Linked DNA regions of Neodiprion lecontei. The protein of the gene in region 2 interacts with the protein of the main gene of each other region in a biochemical or structural test. Links are inferred from orthologs where the notes say so. Each region holds a gene or a part of one and is shown on either strand. Other genes may lie near its edges.

Region 1 (6,455 bases), on a different chromosome or scaffold from region 2:
AGTAAGTAATTGTACAATTTTCCGTTCTCGGCAGAGATGTTGGTGGTCAATTATGTCAACGACCCTCATATAGTGTCCCTGCAGCCAAAAATGACTGCCATAAATTCGTGCATCGAGGTCGACATCACTGGGCAGGTATGTTCTGACAGTATAGGCACCAGAATGTATTCTGGATTTGGTGGACAAGTTGACTTCATACGCGGAGCTGCTATGGGTAAGGATGGCATGGGAAAAGCCATCATAGCATTACCGTCTGTAACGAACAAAGGAGTGAGCAAAATACAACCCGTACTGAAACTAGGTGAGAAATTCTTGTCGAAATTTTTCAACTCGTGATGACGAATTCAAAAAAAAAATTACGCGACTCTGCGACGACTATTTAATGTTTATTTGTTGGTTTTAGGAGCTGGCGTGGTTACTACAAGAGCTCATGTTCGTTACGTTGTCACTGAACATGGAATAGCAAGCTTGTTTGGTAAAACGCTGCGACAGAGAGCGCATGCGCTGATAAATATTGCACATCCCGATCATCGGGAATCTTTGGAAAAGTCGGCGTTTGAACGTTTGAAGTGCATGCCTTGTCCCTAAGTCCAGACGCACCGATACACTCTGACAGCCTAAAATAATACCTAAAAATTATGATACTTGTTCCTTTGAAAGATAGTAAGGTTTATACGCCAGACGTGATGCAAATACGAAGGAACAGTGATTATATTTTTTTAAAACAAATCACGTTATCCCTAGCTGAACTCTTGCTGGTATAACTCTGCTATAATGCGCCAAAATGTATTTCCTTAACGATTTTAATCGTCGTGAATAAGAGAGCAGCCGATCCAGACATTGAATGTTACAATCAAAAACAAAACTCCAGGTATTCCGATCTTTACATGGAAGAAACTTGGAGATATTGGATCGTCGACTAAACCAGAAACGTACTGCGTGTCAGTCGCGATGAGATTCTAGACCTCGTTTACCATTTTACTTTTAACGCCGTACGTGGGTGCAGTTATCTATGGATTGATAATGACGATAGAAGAAAAAAAACTATTTAAATGTCACTGTGTATAGTAATCGTATACACGGGTAATAAACTAATACCAACAGGAACTTAGCCTTTTAGTCTCACGGTTGTCGCAAACTCGATCCTGAAATCATCTTGATCCTACAGTGAGGGAGAAAACAAACCAGCAAACTACTCTTTAACTGTCCGATTGGGCGATGGTTGTATTAAAAAAATGTACATAATAAAATAAAATTTTGCCTTGCGACAAACAGTTCAGCTCAATTAGAACATTAATAAAGCGATTTCGAAAATTGTGACGAATGATTGGGATGGGAAAATAACTGTTCAAATCTAAATTTTCCGAATAGTATAGCAATCGTTTATAAATAATTTATAAAGAAATATATATATATATATTTTTTTTTATCATATCGTTTCCATCATTTTTAATAACGAGATGACATTTTACCGATATGTGATTAATGAATGCTATGTGATCAAGACTGCATTGTCCGTTTGTTGCAGCAAATTGATCAACGATATTAAGGGATAGTAATGGCCCAGTTATCACGAAAAACTTAATTTACTAACACAAAGTCATAATATTACAAATATCTTACAGTGCATCCCTACAAAGAATCAATAATAATAATCGTAACAATAGGCGAGTTGAGATCTAGGTAATGACTAATGAAAAAAAAATCAAATAGACAACGACACACTCGTAGTCGTGCTTAAAAATTGATACCCTCTGGCAAGGTTCCCTCCTCGCGTCTCTTCTCAACAGTTTTGAAATACTCTGAAAAGTCGACGTACGGTTTGATTTTAGTATCTCTGTTCACAGGCTTTCCACCCGGTGGGTACATGTCTGAAGTGGTCGAAGTTTCAGTCGTTGATGTATCACAGTTTTGTTGATCGGACGTATTTGTTCCGCTGCTCGAATAGTAGTCATTGTCCATTCGCGATGGTACGGGCACAGTTTGCACGTCGGGATTAAACCTCACCGACTGAATAGTAGGGCTTTTTAGGACGTTGGGCAAAGGAAAGTTAAAGTTTCTCACTAACAATGTTATGTCGTCTCTTTTTCCAGTAGTCAATGTATTCTGGGAATTGCTCATGTTGACGTCATGATGTATCCTCACTATTTTATCCACTACTGCCTGCGCCACTCCCGTCAATGTCGACTGTACCCTAAACTGGAGACAAAAAGTACTCGTGAATCACTTTCGCTTGACCAGACTCGAACAAACATCTTCCCGTTGTTCATAAACGTACCTGTTCGACGGCCATTTGGGCCAACTCTTTGTTGACCTGATCAGTTCCGGTCGCTTCCTCCAGCGATTTGTAGAGACCTCTCGACATGAGTAGCAAAAATCTACACGAATCGTCGAGTTCTATACCACCGTGTATCTCCGGCTCTGCTATTATTGGCTCTGTGCTCGCCGATGCCAATTCCTCAAATTCCCTGTATCCCCCTTTGACTAGGTAATTGCCAAGGCATCTCGTGTTTTCCTGGTTTCCAAGGTGTGAACCTAGAGAAGCACAGTTACGGTTACAGCGCAAGCTGATGTGTCAAAGAAAAATATTTGGGGGGTGGGGATTCTCTAAATTGTCTTGTTTTGTACTCATTTCGCCCTATTACGGTAACTTATTGTTATAGAGACCTTGTTTAACAGAGTCAATGTCCAATCCAAGCTGAGACAGCCTCAACAGCTCATCCTCGTTCCTCAGATCGTGATCTACACTTAATTGCACGACTCTCAAGACCTGATTGCTGTCAGTTCTGCAGAGTAATGCTCTACTGTCTCCGACGTTTGCTACGTATAAGCGTCCGCCGTAAACTAAGGCTACCACCGCGCTTGTTCCAGCCGACAATTCGCTGTTCAAAGAACTCAACTTGTCCACCTAAAAAGAAAGAAAAATAACAATTGTTACACACGATCACAGTAGATTTATTACAACGTTTGTTTCATATGTCGTAAAACAAAAAAACAAGTACCAAGTATGGAAATTTTTGGTAAGTTTCATACGAATTCAGCCCATCCGGTATGTCGAATTGCAGACTAGCCCGTTCTGCCAGAATATCTCCAATAGAGTCTAGATATCCACGTTCCACGGTAATGAAAGCTTGCCTGAGAAAAGAAGCGACGACAATATTAGTCCTAGGTTTGATTTACCTTTCCAAGAATATAGGAAATTACTTACCTTAATACTTCTTTAACTTCCTCGTCGGTCGATTTGCCACTGAGCTGTCCTAAGAGAATTTCAGCTGCCATACGCTGAAGCGCGAAAGTAGCCGCCTTCGTTCCCTCGTGTCCATCGAAAACTCCGTATAAAAAAGTCGAGTCGTCGTACCGACAGTGAAAACTACGGTCTTCGAACGGATGATCCTCCTGCCGGCCACCATCCTCCCTATATATTTGATTCGTTGAAAACCCCACACCTATGGAATCGCCATCAAAATTTTCACCCATTTTCAATTAGAAATTGATTCGAGCGTTTTTCATCAAACATTTTGGACTTCTGTTATTTTTGAGTAGTCTTCAGTTAGGCTAGACTAGGTTAGGACTTGTTGGAATTGTCAATCGTCTACCTGACTGTTTGCAAACGGGCAAGTCGTCGGTCCAACTATGCTGGGCGTCTTGATACGTTAGCAAATTAGGCCTCTCTGCTCTGGTCGGCATCTCGACAATTTTATTCTACAATCACTACGCGTTTCCTACCCACGGAGATTGACGCGTACCTCCATTTCCCATTACGATAGCATTATGAACTATGCATTGCATGCCTTTCGAGATGAGTCAGGTGGGCGAATTCTGCCAGCGAATGAAAATCACTCGATCAAACACAGATTGCGCACGCAGCTTATCGAGCGATCGGATCAAATGAAAGAAAAAAGTAACGATAATGAACGTGATCGTGGGTCGAGAGAATCGGTACGTTTCAAATGATGTGCAGCTATATTGTTTTATACGTTACAATTTATCAGTAGTATTGAATGTACGATAATTCTGTCTTTTACTTCGCAACTCGCAGCTAAAACGGCATATCTGTGATACCGGACCTAAACCTGGAAAAATCAGCTCGGTGAGATGGCAAATTGCAACTCCGGTTGTCTATCTGTAGGTGCAGAGATGACTTTTTATGTCGAAGCCCGCGGTACGTAGTTATTTCCATCTCAACGATTCTGAAGTTTCGCTTACAATTCGAACGAAATACATTGATCAGAAATTTTCCACGGACTGCATGCGCGTTGACTAGACATTTACTGACAGTTTCATCGAAGCCAGTTGTAACTGTCACGCTACGGGTAATTCGATTTTAGTCATTTGAGCATGGTTTCAACTTCCCCGATGACGTCAACGCCGTCCAACTTGTCCAGGCGACGCGCGAGGTCGCCTTTGATCAATCCTTTGAACCCCTGTTTGTCAACCCCTTCCAGGAACCTGGAACCCGACGTCGGTATCATTACTCTTGTATTCCGATGCTGCATCCGGTGTATCCGATTCATCCACATTTACCACCGTGTAATCAAAATTTCTCACTTTTCCAAATCGTGTAACCGTTCTATATCTTTCTTGATCCTCTGGACCTGCTCCATGCGAGAGACGTTCAAAAAATTGACCAATTCCTCGGTACCCATGTCGGTTAAAGGTACGTCTGAAAATGTTCGATAAGGAGGCAGCTGAGTTTATCATCTTTTTGAAAATAAAGATAAATTCGGGTCTACCTCCGAAGACCGATCTTCTCATTCTCTTATCGTGAGTATGATCTAGACGGATTTAGAGCATCTGCCGTATATTTTTCAACTCACCTTATCTCAATAGGTGAGTCTTACGGAAAAACTAGCTAATTTGTTATTCTGTTAAACCAGGAACCCTGGTGAAAAAACCCCTGGTACAAATAATTCTACGAATTTCTATGGAAATATCTACGAAGTTTTACGGCAATTTCTATGCAAAGGTACAGGATTTGGGTGAATTCGTAGTTTTTCTTAATAATAATAATCTACGAAAAACTGTACGAATCGTTACGATATCTCGAGTTCAAAAACTATGGATCGACCCAAATCCTGTACTTTTGCATAGAAATTTGCGTAAAACTTCGTAGATATTTTCACGGAAATTAATAGAATTATTTTCACCAGGATATAAGTATATCCATGCTAGAACACACGCCTGGTTCATTCCCTTGAAACAATACCCGGTGGTGAGTTGTCCGGGGTCAGGAGTGTCGTGATATCGGGCGTCGAGGCGACCGCGTCGTCGGGGATCGTCACCGGCACTCCGGCTCTGTATATCTGCTCTAACGGGGTTTGCTCCGTGTACGGAGTCGGCCCTCGGGACATCATCTCGTTGTAGGTCAGACTGACATTACCGCCCTTCTCGACCGATGGAGAACTACCGCCGGACTCGACGTTCCTATTATTATCTTCTCGCGGTCGAACGGAGGGCGATGACGATTCCTGTAGCGAATGACGACAGAATATTGTACAGTTTTTAATTTCTTATCACGCACTCTCTTTCCCCCCCACTGTGGATAATTTCCCACGTTTCCGTGCTCCTTTTCCGGTCCCTCGTCGTCTTCGCCGTCCTTCGAAATCCTCGAAGTTTCCCTCGCGCCGCTCTTCGACGCCTCTTCATTTTCCAACGCTTCGCCGAGTTTCGCGTACTGCTCGATAAGGTCGTCCTGGACCGCCTGGATGCAGACGTTCACGTCGCCCGTGTACTCGCCCTCGGTGTTCTTCAAGTCCAGTAGAAACCTCAGACACCAATGGAGCTGAGCTATGCCTGGGACCGAGCGGCAATTCGGTTAATAACATCTTACTATGCACCGCAGGATCTTCTCCGTCATAATTCCACCGAAGATTCTTATTTACCGATGTATTTTTTGTCCGGGTGAAAAAGCATCCAGATAACGCCAAACGCGTGGTCGTGGTAAAGCCAGTAAGGTGGCAGATGGCCGTTCATCACGGATCCGGGGGACGGTTTGCTCGGAACTCTGAAGGAGTAGATGAGCGGCTGGATGTCGACGATGTCCTTGTTTTTTTCTCTACCCGGTTTCTTCGCGGCGCTGCGTAGAGTCGAAATTAGCAGGGATATTACGCACGGTTTACACGCGGCACACGCATGCCTTAATCCGAAGAAAAATATCAACTCACTCCGTTTTTTCAAGGGTCGAATTCGACCCGGTTCCGCTCCTCGTCCGATTTGATCGACCATTTTTAGAACCGTCCGATGCGGAATTCCCAGTCGCCGAGGATTGCGATGTTCTTGATCCTCTGCCCGAACGCATCGTTCGGACGATAACGGGGACGCGTGACGATGCAGGCAAGTACGATTTACGGTGTCGTTGAATGGATCTTCACATTTTCGTAGAAAAATATTTACGCGCAGTGCTTATTCCACCCGTAATTTATTAATTTTTAATTCAAAATTTTTTTGGTTAAAAA
Region 2 (6,463 bases):
CTAGTGGATATTGCGTGAGATCAAAATGTTGGAACGAAATTGTTCATGCACGAAACTTAATTACGACCGAAAAAGTGACTTCAGAGACCATTTCTGGAAAAACGTGACTCCTTTAAAAAAAGTGACTGACTACCAGCTCTGTGATATCACTCTAACTTTGAATATGAGCTAATTTCTTATTCTACTATATTATTTTCCAAGTATACCTTTGAATGTATACCTTTGTATAAATCGTACATGAGTTTTTGTTGTTACATCGAAATCAAAACGATGCATGTATCTTCAGAATAATAAGGTATCTTTTGCTGCTAACTGATTTAACTTAGGCATTTGACGAAAATTCAATGGATAAAACAAAGTGGGTCAAGTTCAGAAGCTCACTCTAGTAAATATGAAATACGATATTTGCCAAACTCATATGATTTCAAATGAAATAAATGTAGAATCGTAAAAAAATTCTGAACTTCTTACCTTGAGGAGTTTTATGTGTCTTTGGAACCATTTTGTCCAATCCCGCCATGTTACGTATCTCCCATGAAGAGTCATCGGATGTGGTTAAATCCCAAGAATTCTGAAAATGGGCATCATAAAATAAATAAGAATCAACAAATTTGACAAGTAAACCCACATATCGCGACTACTTACTGGATTACACTCTATCTGTATCGGCGAAGTATAGTCGTTTAAAACTGATGGTGATAGTCTGGTTCGTTGAGTCACAGGTATACCTCTAGGAGGTCTTTGTGGCGTGAGATCTGTTTTACCGCCAGTTTGTGAGTTGGGCTTAGAATTATTCTGAAGTCCAAGGAACTGTGTTCCAGCTTGGTTCAGCCTAGGTGTGAGGTACCCTGTGTTACATTCAGTCTGCGGTACCTGAGACTGTGACGAGCTGGTTTCTGGTTGTGTAAATTGAATGTCAGACATAACTTGATTGTCTGTTGGCGTTGGTGTCTGATTTGTACCATTGCTTACAGAACCATTGATTTGTGAGTTTAAGGTACTCGGCATATCCAATGTGTCATCAGCACCATCTTCCTCATCCATTTCACTGCCTGAAAATTACCATGAAAATGCAAAATTCTTTACTGTACAGGTTACTTGGATTTTGTATTTTGTATGAAATAGCATTTACTATAATAATGATTTGTTTTCTCTACTAAAAAACCCTCATAAGACGTAATTTTTTCATAGTGCGTTCTTATCATCTTTTTTCGTTTTTGATAATCTTAGTTTAAGAAGTGTCTATGGAGGTTTATAACATACTTAAAGAATATTCAACAGGATCCAATTGACCGTTGAAGAACTCTGAAAGAGTGGTCATAATTTGAACAACTTCATCCATTGACGGTCTCTCTTCTGGAACTTTTTTCCAACACCTAAAAGCAACAAATAAAAATGAGAGAAAGTTAATATAGAGAAAAATAGGAATTACAGATTAAATTTTGGCATAATGAGTAACAGTCGAACTCTACATCAAACACACACGTTCATGTCAAGTGGATTTATGACTGGACAGTACCATAAAGTACCATAAGATATTGAACTGTGTTCGAAGATTTTTTCTTAGTGTAAATAGGAAGATGCTGTAACAAATTAATATTTACTCACCGGGTCATAAGGTCTTCTATCGGTTTAGGACAACCATCCATCAACGGAGGCCTCTGCCCAATATGCACAGCCCACATAATTCTGTATGCAGAACCACCAATGTCGTCGAATGGCTTTCTACGAGATAAAATCTCCCACAAAATAACGCCCCAGCTAAACACGTCACATTTTTCTGTATACCGCGATCCTTCAAAGACTTCAGGCGCCATCCAAGCAGCAGAGCCTTTGTTATTGGTCATGTAAGTATTCAGATCGCAGGCTGTTCCAAAATCACAGATTTTCAGAGTCTGACCACCCAGGATGAGAAGAAGATTAGGAGGCTTCAAATCTCTGTAAAGTTTCCAATAGTCAAGGTTATAGTGTCTGATAGAATTTCAATTATGTCCATGTTTGAAAGTGAGTGGCTCTTAGAAACACAACAACATGTGCATAGCTATGTAATGATTAAATATTTGACCAACCTGTGAATTAATGGTTTTGGCTTCATGTTGTGAAGATAAGCAACCCCACGAGCACACTGGAGTGCCCAACTCATTGCATGGCCTGCTGTGTAGTAAGGTTGTGGATTACAATGCAACACTGTAACATTAACACATTATAGTTATAAAATATGTGTGTATTGTAAAGAAATTTTTTTTAAAAAAGCAGAAAAAGTATCAATTCTCAAAAGATACGTACACAGCTCGAATGTAAATGGAAGAATAAAGCAGAGAAAGTATCATTCACGTATAATTATTAGAATGATGGGACAGAGCAGCCTTAAAGTGAAATTTGAAAACTCAGTAATGTATGCTGTATTTTGCAGATCATTGGTGTTTTATATTCAGGCACTGCATTACTCCTATTTCATAGATAAGGTATCAAGTAAAACCACTACATTTGTTTAAACATACTGGGTTGTACTCAACAACCAAAATTATTTCAAGCAACTCTATTCGCAATTGATTAAATAAAGAAATACCATGATGTGATACTTCTGAAATAATACTTATCATTTACAAAGTAAATCATTTTTTAGGATGCATGGTCATTTTTTGGATATGTGTATATTTCACAAATCATTAGCTGGATGTTAGTTTGAATTAACACTAGTGTACTATAAATTTTCAATTACTTGCCATTATATAAAGAGCCACCCTCAGCATACTCCATAACTAAACAAACTGGATTTTTTGTACATGCACCATAGAGTTTAACAATATTAGGATGTGCTACTCTGGATAGCTGGCGCACTTCGACGGTGAATGCCTTCCTCTCTCCCTCAGAGTTTATGTGTTTCACCGCCACATACTGACCTCTCCATCGTCCTTTCCAGACAACTCCAAAGGAGCCTTTCCCAACAATCTGTTATCAGAAACAATTACTTTTTTACTTTACTGTATTAGTTAAAGGAAGTTGGATCGCTGACATAAAATGTCTAAACAAATCATGAGGCGCGTATCAAAGCTGATTAGATGAATTTGATTACACAGCAATGGCTGATATCTCTTTGTAAATAAATGTTTTAATTTTAACTAACGTTAGCTGATCTATAAAGCTTGTTCGTTGATATTGTATAAATCAATTCACTCTCTTTTACAAACGCGAGTTCTATGCACGTCAATAATAATGTTTACTGATGAATAACGGTGAGCAACAGCCCGAAAGTGGATGGACATATTAACAGTCAGGACTCAGTTGATTGATCGAGATAAATAATTGAGTGAAAAAAATATTCATGTATGTTTATAGAGACCAAAATGTTTTGGAGACGAAGATGTTGTGAGGTTATGTTTTCGCAATAGATTTTTATACGAGGTTCATTGATACGATATGGAATTTTACGAGTGCTATTTATTTAAGGGTAAGTTATTTGCTACAAAATGACAATTTGGTGAGGGTAAACATAATGAAAATGTGCGATTTTCTTACACAGATATCACAAGATTACCTCCTGTGTTTCAATTTCATTGTAGTTAATTTCTTCAACAAACTGTTGCTGATGGCCAGTTCCTTCCTTGCTCGCCATCACATACCGTCCGCATCACATTATTTTCAGGCCGCATTTACCCAGCTAACGCAAATTTTTCACAAATATTTATTTGAACTGGCATTCAAATTGTTTCGCCATTTGCCATTTTTCGTCTTTCTACCGACGTGTTTGCGTTGTTTTGAGACGAAGTGGGCGTTCTGTAATACAATTGGTCAAAGATATCAAACCTGCAATGGCGATCGCAGCGGCGCTGCTGAGTGGACGAGCGTGCAGCGGAAAATTTGAGAAATATCAAAAGCAGAACACTCGCGATAGTTGTCGAATATAATCAATTATTAGACAAGATTTTAAGTAAATAATATAATTCTCATATCGAAATGACTACGCCGCGTTGTTCCGAGTTTATTCTGGACTCGTAGGACATTTTTATCTCGTCTCCGGGTTCTGTACTCGCTTTATCGATTTGTTGCATGGTTCTGTCATGGAGGACCTCCTGCTGCAGATCGTCAAGGAGGCTTCGCACGCGAAATTACCAAACATACGTAAATCGGCGCAAGAGGCACATGGTGAGCTAAACATTGAACATCTTATCTTATCCATTTTTTGATTCTTCACTCACTTATTTTCTCCCACAGATTTCCTGGACAAGCAGCAAGGTCTATTGCGGGATCCCCCGCACGAACTGCGGGCGAAATGCCTCCACACCTGTCAGCTCGCTCTCGAAACAAGGAGAAGCAAATTTGTCGCCTTTGGTCTTGCTGGCCTACATGTAATGCATTCTAATGATCCCGATATTCACAGCTGTTCGCTTTATTTCGCCAGCTTTCCTTATCGCTCGTACATTGCCTCACTCTCACTGTGTAACACCCTCGTATTTGCAATAACCACATCCTGGGTGGTACAATTACTGATAGTGCTTTCACCATATGATACTCACTATGCTACACAGCTAGCACTCATTCACATTTCTGACGCTGACTGATTTTTTCTACTAATTACTGTTTCGACGATAACTGTATAAAAATATTTAAATTATATTTCGAAGTGAAACTATACTTTAACTGAAAAAAATTGTTCCAAGAATATAATTAATGTTAAAATTAGATCATTGTGCCACAAATTTTTGTTTTCAGAATTCATGATTTTTTGTAAAATACTTTGAGCAGCTTGACTAGATTTAGAAACTCATTCAGAGCTGTGTTATTTAGCAAGTTACCAATCGATATTCAGACAGTAGTTTTTGCTTACCAATTGATTGTTTTTACATGTCTCCTTGCAATTTCAGACCTGTTATGCAGTGAAAGTTGATCAATAAGAAATAGGAAACTATTTTTTTTGATTTCAGTCTCTTTCTCCTGTTATGACAGCGTTTTGAATATATTCTGCAAATTTGAAGCTCATGCCAAATGATTTTTATTGCAATGGGAGAAGCTCTAAGTTTTTTGGTCACGGTTTCGACACTGATTACACAATATATAACATATTTTTACTGACATATCAAGCACTCTGCTTATGTTTCACTTATTTGCTCATGTCGTTTTTTTAATCGACTAATATATAGTGTTAAATTTGACATTAAATGTTTCTAAGATAATTTATACTTATTCGCTTCAATGAGTTATTTTTTCAGGATTATTCGAACAAACATTTTGTTTCTAATTGAAATTGAATAGAATAATTTCTTATAGATATAAGTGGTTATATGCAATTAATGTTCATTTATGTCTTATGGCAGAAAATGCTGAGGGACGATAGATTTCAGTCTCCTTATGAGCCGGAGGATGATTCCTTGTGGCTTCCAGCTCAAATGCTCCATACTATGAGTTCCATATTATCCCAGTCAGACGATGCACAGACAGACATGCTAAAAGTAAGTTAGTTGTAAAATTGAAAACAGAAATGAAGAGCAAATACAGTCTAGGCTGTTTTTACCTGTGATTCATTTTAAACCAATCAAATCATTAATATTATTATTGATGTTATTCGTAAAATTTTTCCTAGGTGCTACTGCAAGTTGCATGTTCTTCATATTGGACAATGAATGGTCGTCTCATTATTGCTGTACTAACAACTTGTAGCGAGGCCTTTGAAAATGGAAACCAAGCAGTTAGAACTGCGGCACAGGCAGCTACCAGCCAAACTCTTCGATCCTTCTGCTTATTTCTAGGCAATATGAACAGATATTTAATTGCTTAGGATGTAGTTTAGTATACACCACAAATTTTGACTACTAAATATTTTTATTACAGATGAAGAATGTCAAGAAATGGACGAGAATGCCAAGAAGAATAAGAATATTCATGAAAGAGGGGTATCTTGTTTTAATGAGGCGATACCTATACTACAATATATCTGTAGCAAATTAGATGAAGCTCAAACGTAAGTATTGCTGAAAAAAATCAAACGAAACATTTACAGTTGAACTTCTGTAGAAAAAAAAAAATTCATTTTAATATTCTTCGAACAATGTCACCGCAGTATTAAAATGTGCACTTATTACTGCAAAGTTAAGTTTAATCTAATATTTTTCAATCATTATTCCAGAAACGGCCGTAATGGAACAACAGTTGTGTTTCTTCTAGAATGCTTGCACACATTGATATCATCTCTTCCGCAGAAAATCCATACTAATGCACACTTCACGACATTCTTGTGGCAAAAGTTTTGCCCCGCGCTCATAGCTTTTCTGGGTACTCCAAGAGTTGACAAAACATTTATATCCAGGGAAGGAAAAGATACGGAAGTTGGTAGAGGGTCAGGCTACTTAGCAACAGCTTTGAGTTTTGACAGCCATCAGGCTAAAACTGTTTATAGGTATGATATTACAGTGGCAAGCAAACTTGGCTCAAAGTGTGTCGAAAAAAGTAATTCCGCACTGATTAG

Evidence for each region.
Region 1: of the proteins of mitogen-activated protein kinase kinase kinase 7 (region 2) and TGF-beta-activated kinase 1 and MAP3K7-binding protein 1, one has a biochemical effect on the other in vitro, tested with the Homo sapiens proteins (4 studies listed by BioGRID and IntAct). The link is inferred for Neodiprion lecontei from reciprocal best matches to the Homo sapiens genes MAP3K7 and TAB1.

What each region holds. Positions count from the first base shown.
Region 1 is NC_060262.1:384,963-391,417, forward strand, and holds TGF-beta-activated kinase 1 and MAP3K7-binding protein 1, read right to left. Parts: upstream 3,801-6,455; 5' UTR 3,688-3,800; coding exon 3,597-3,687; intron 3,447-3,596; coding exon 3,209-3,446; intron 3,136-3,208; coding exon 3,003-3,135; intron 2,909-3,002; coding exon 2,668-2,908; intron 2,536-2,667; coding exon 2,279-2,535; intron 2,200-2,278; coding exon 1,738-2,199; 3' UTR 1,435-1,737; downstream 1-1,434. Other genes in the region: 4-hydroxybutyrate coenzyme A transferase, read left to right, coding at 35-301, 404-588. UniProt on the Homo sapiens protein: Key adapter protein that plays an essential role in JNK and NF-kappa-B activation and proinflammatory cytokines production in response to stimulation with TLRs and cytokines.
Region 2 is NC_060260.1:31,603,736-31,610,198, reverse strand, and holds the start of mitogen-activated protein kinase kinase kinase 7, read right to left. Parts: upstream 3,754-6,463; 5' UTR 3,617-3,753; coding exon 3,539-3,616; exon of another isoform or gene 3,520-3,538; intron 2,953-3,519; coding exon 2,727-2,952; intron 2,188-2,726; coding exon 2,070-2,187; intron 1,939-2,069; coding exon 1,609-1,938; intron 1,377-1,608; coding exon 1,264-1,376; intron 1,053-1,263; coding exon 646-1,052; intron 572-645; coding exon 472-571; intron 1-471. Other genes in the region: brefeldin A-inhibited guanine nucleotide-exchange protein 3, read left to right, coding at 4,062-4,146, 4,216-4,349, 5,316-5,450, 5,582-5,747, 5,830-5,959, 6,125-6,394. UniProt on the Homo sapiens protein: Serine/threonine kinase which acts as an essential component of the MAP kinase signal transduction pathway. Plays an important role in the cascades of cellular responses evoked by changes in the environment.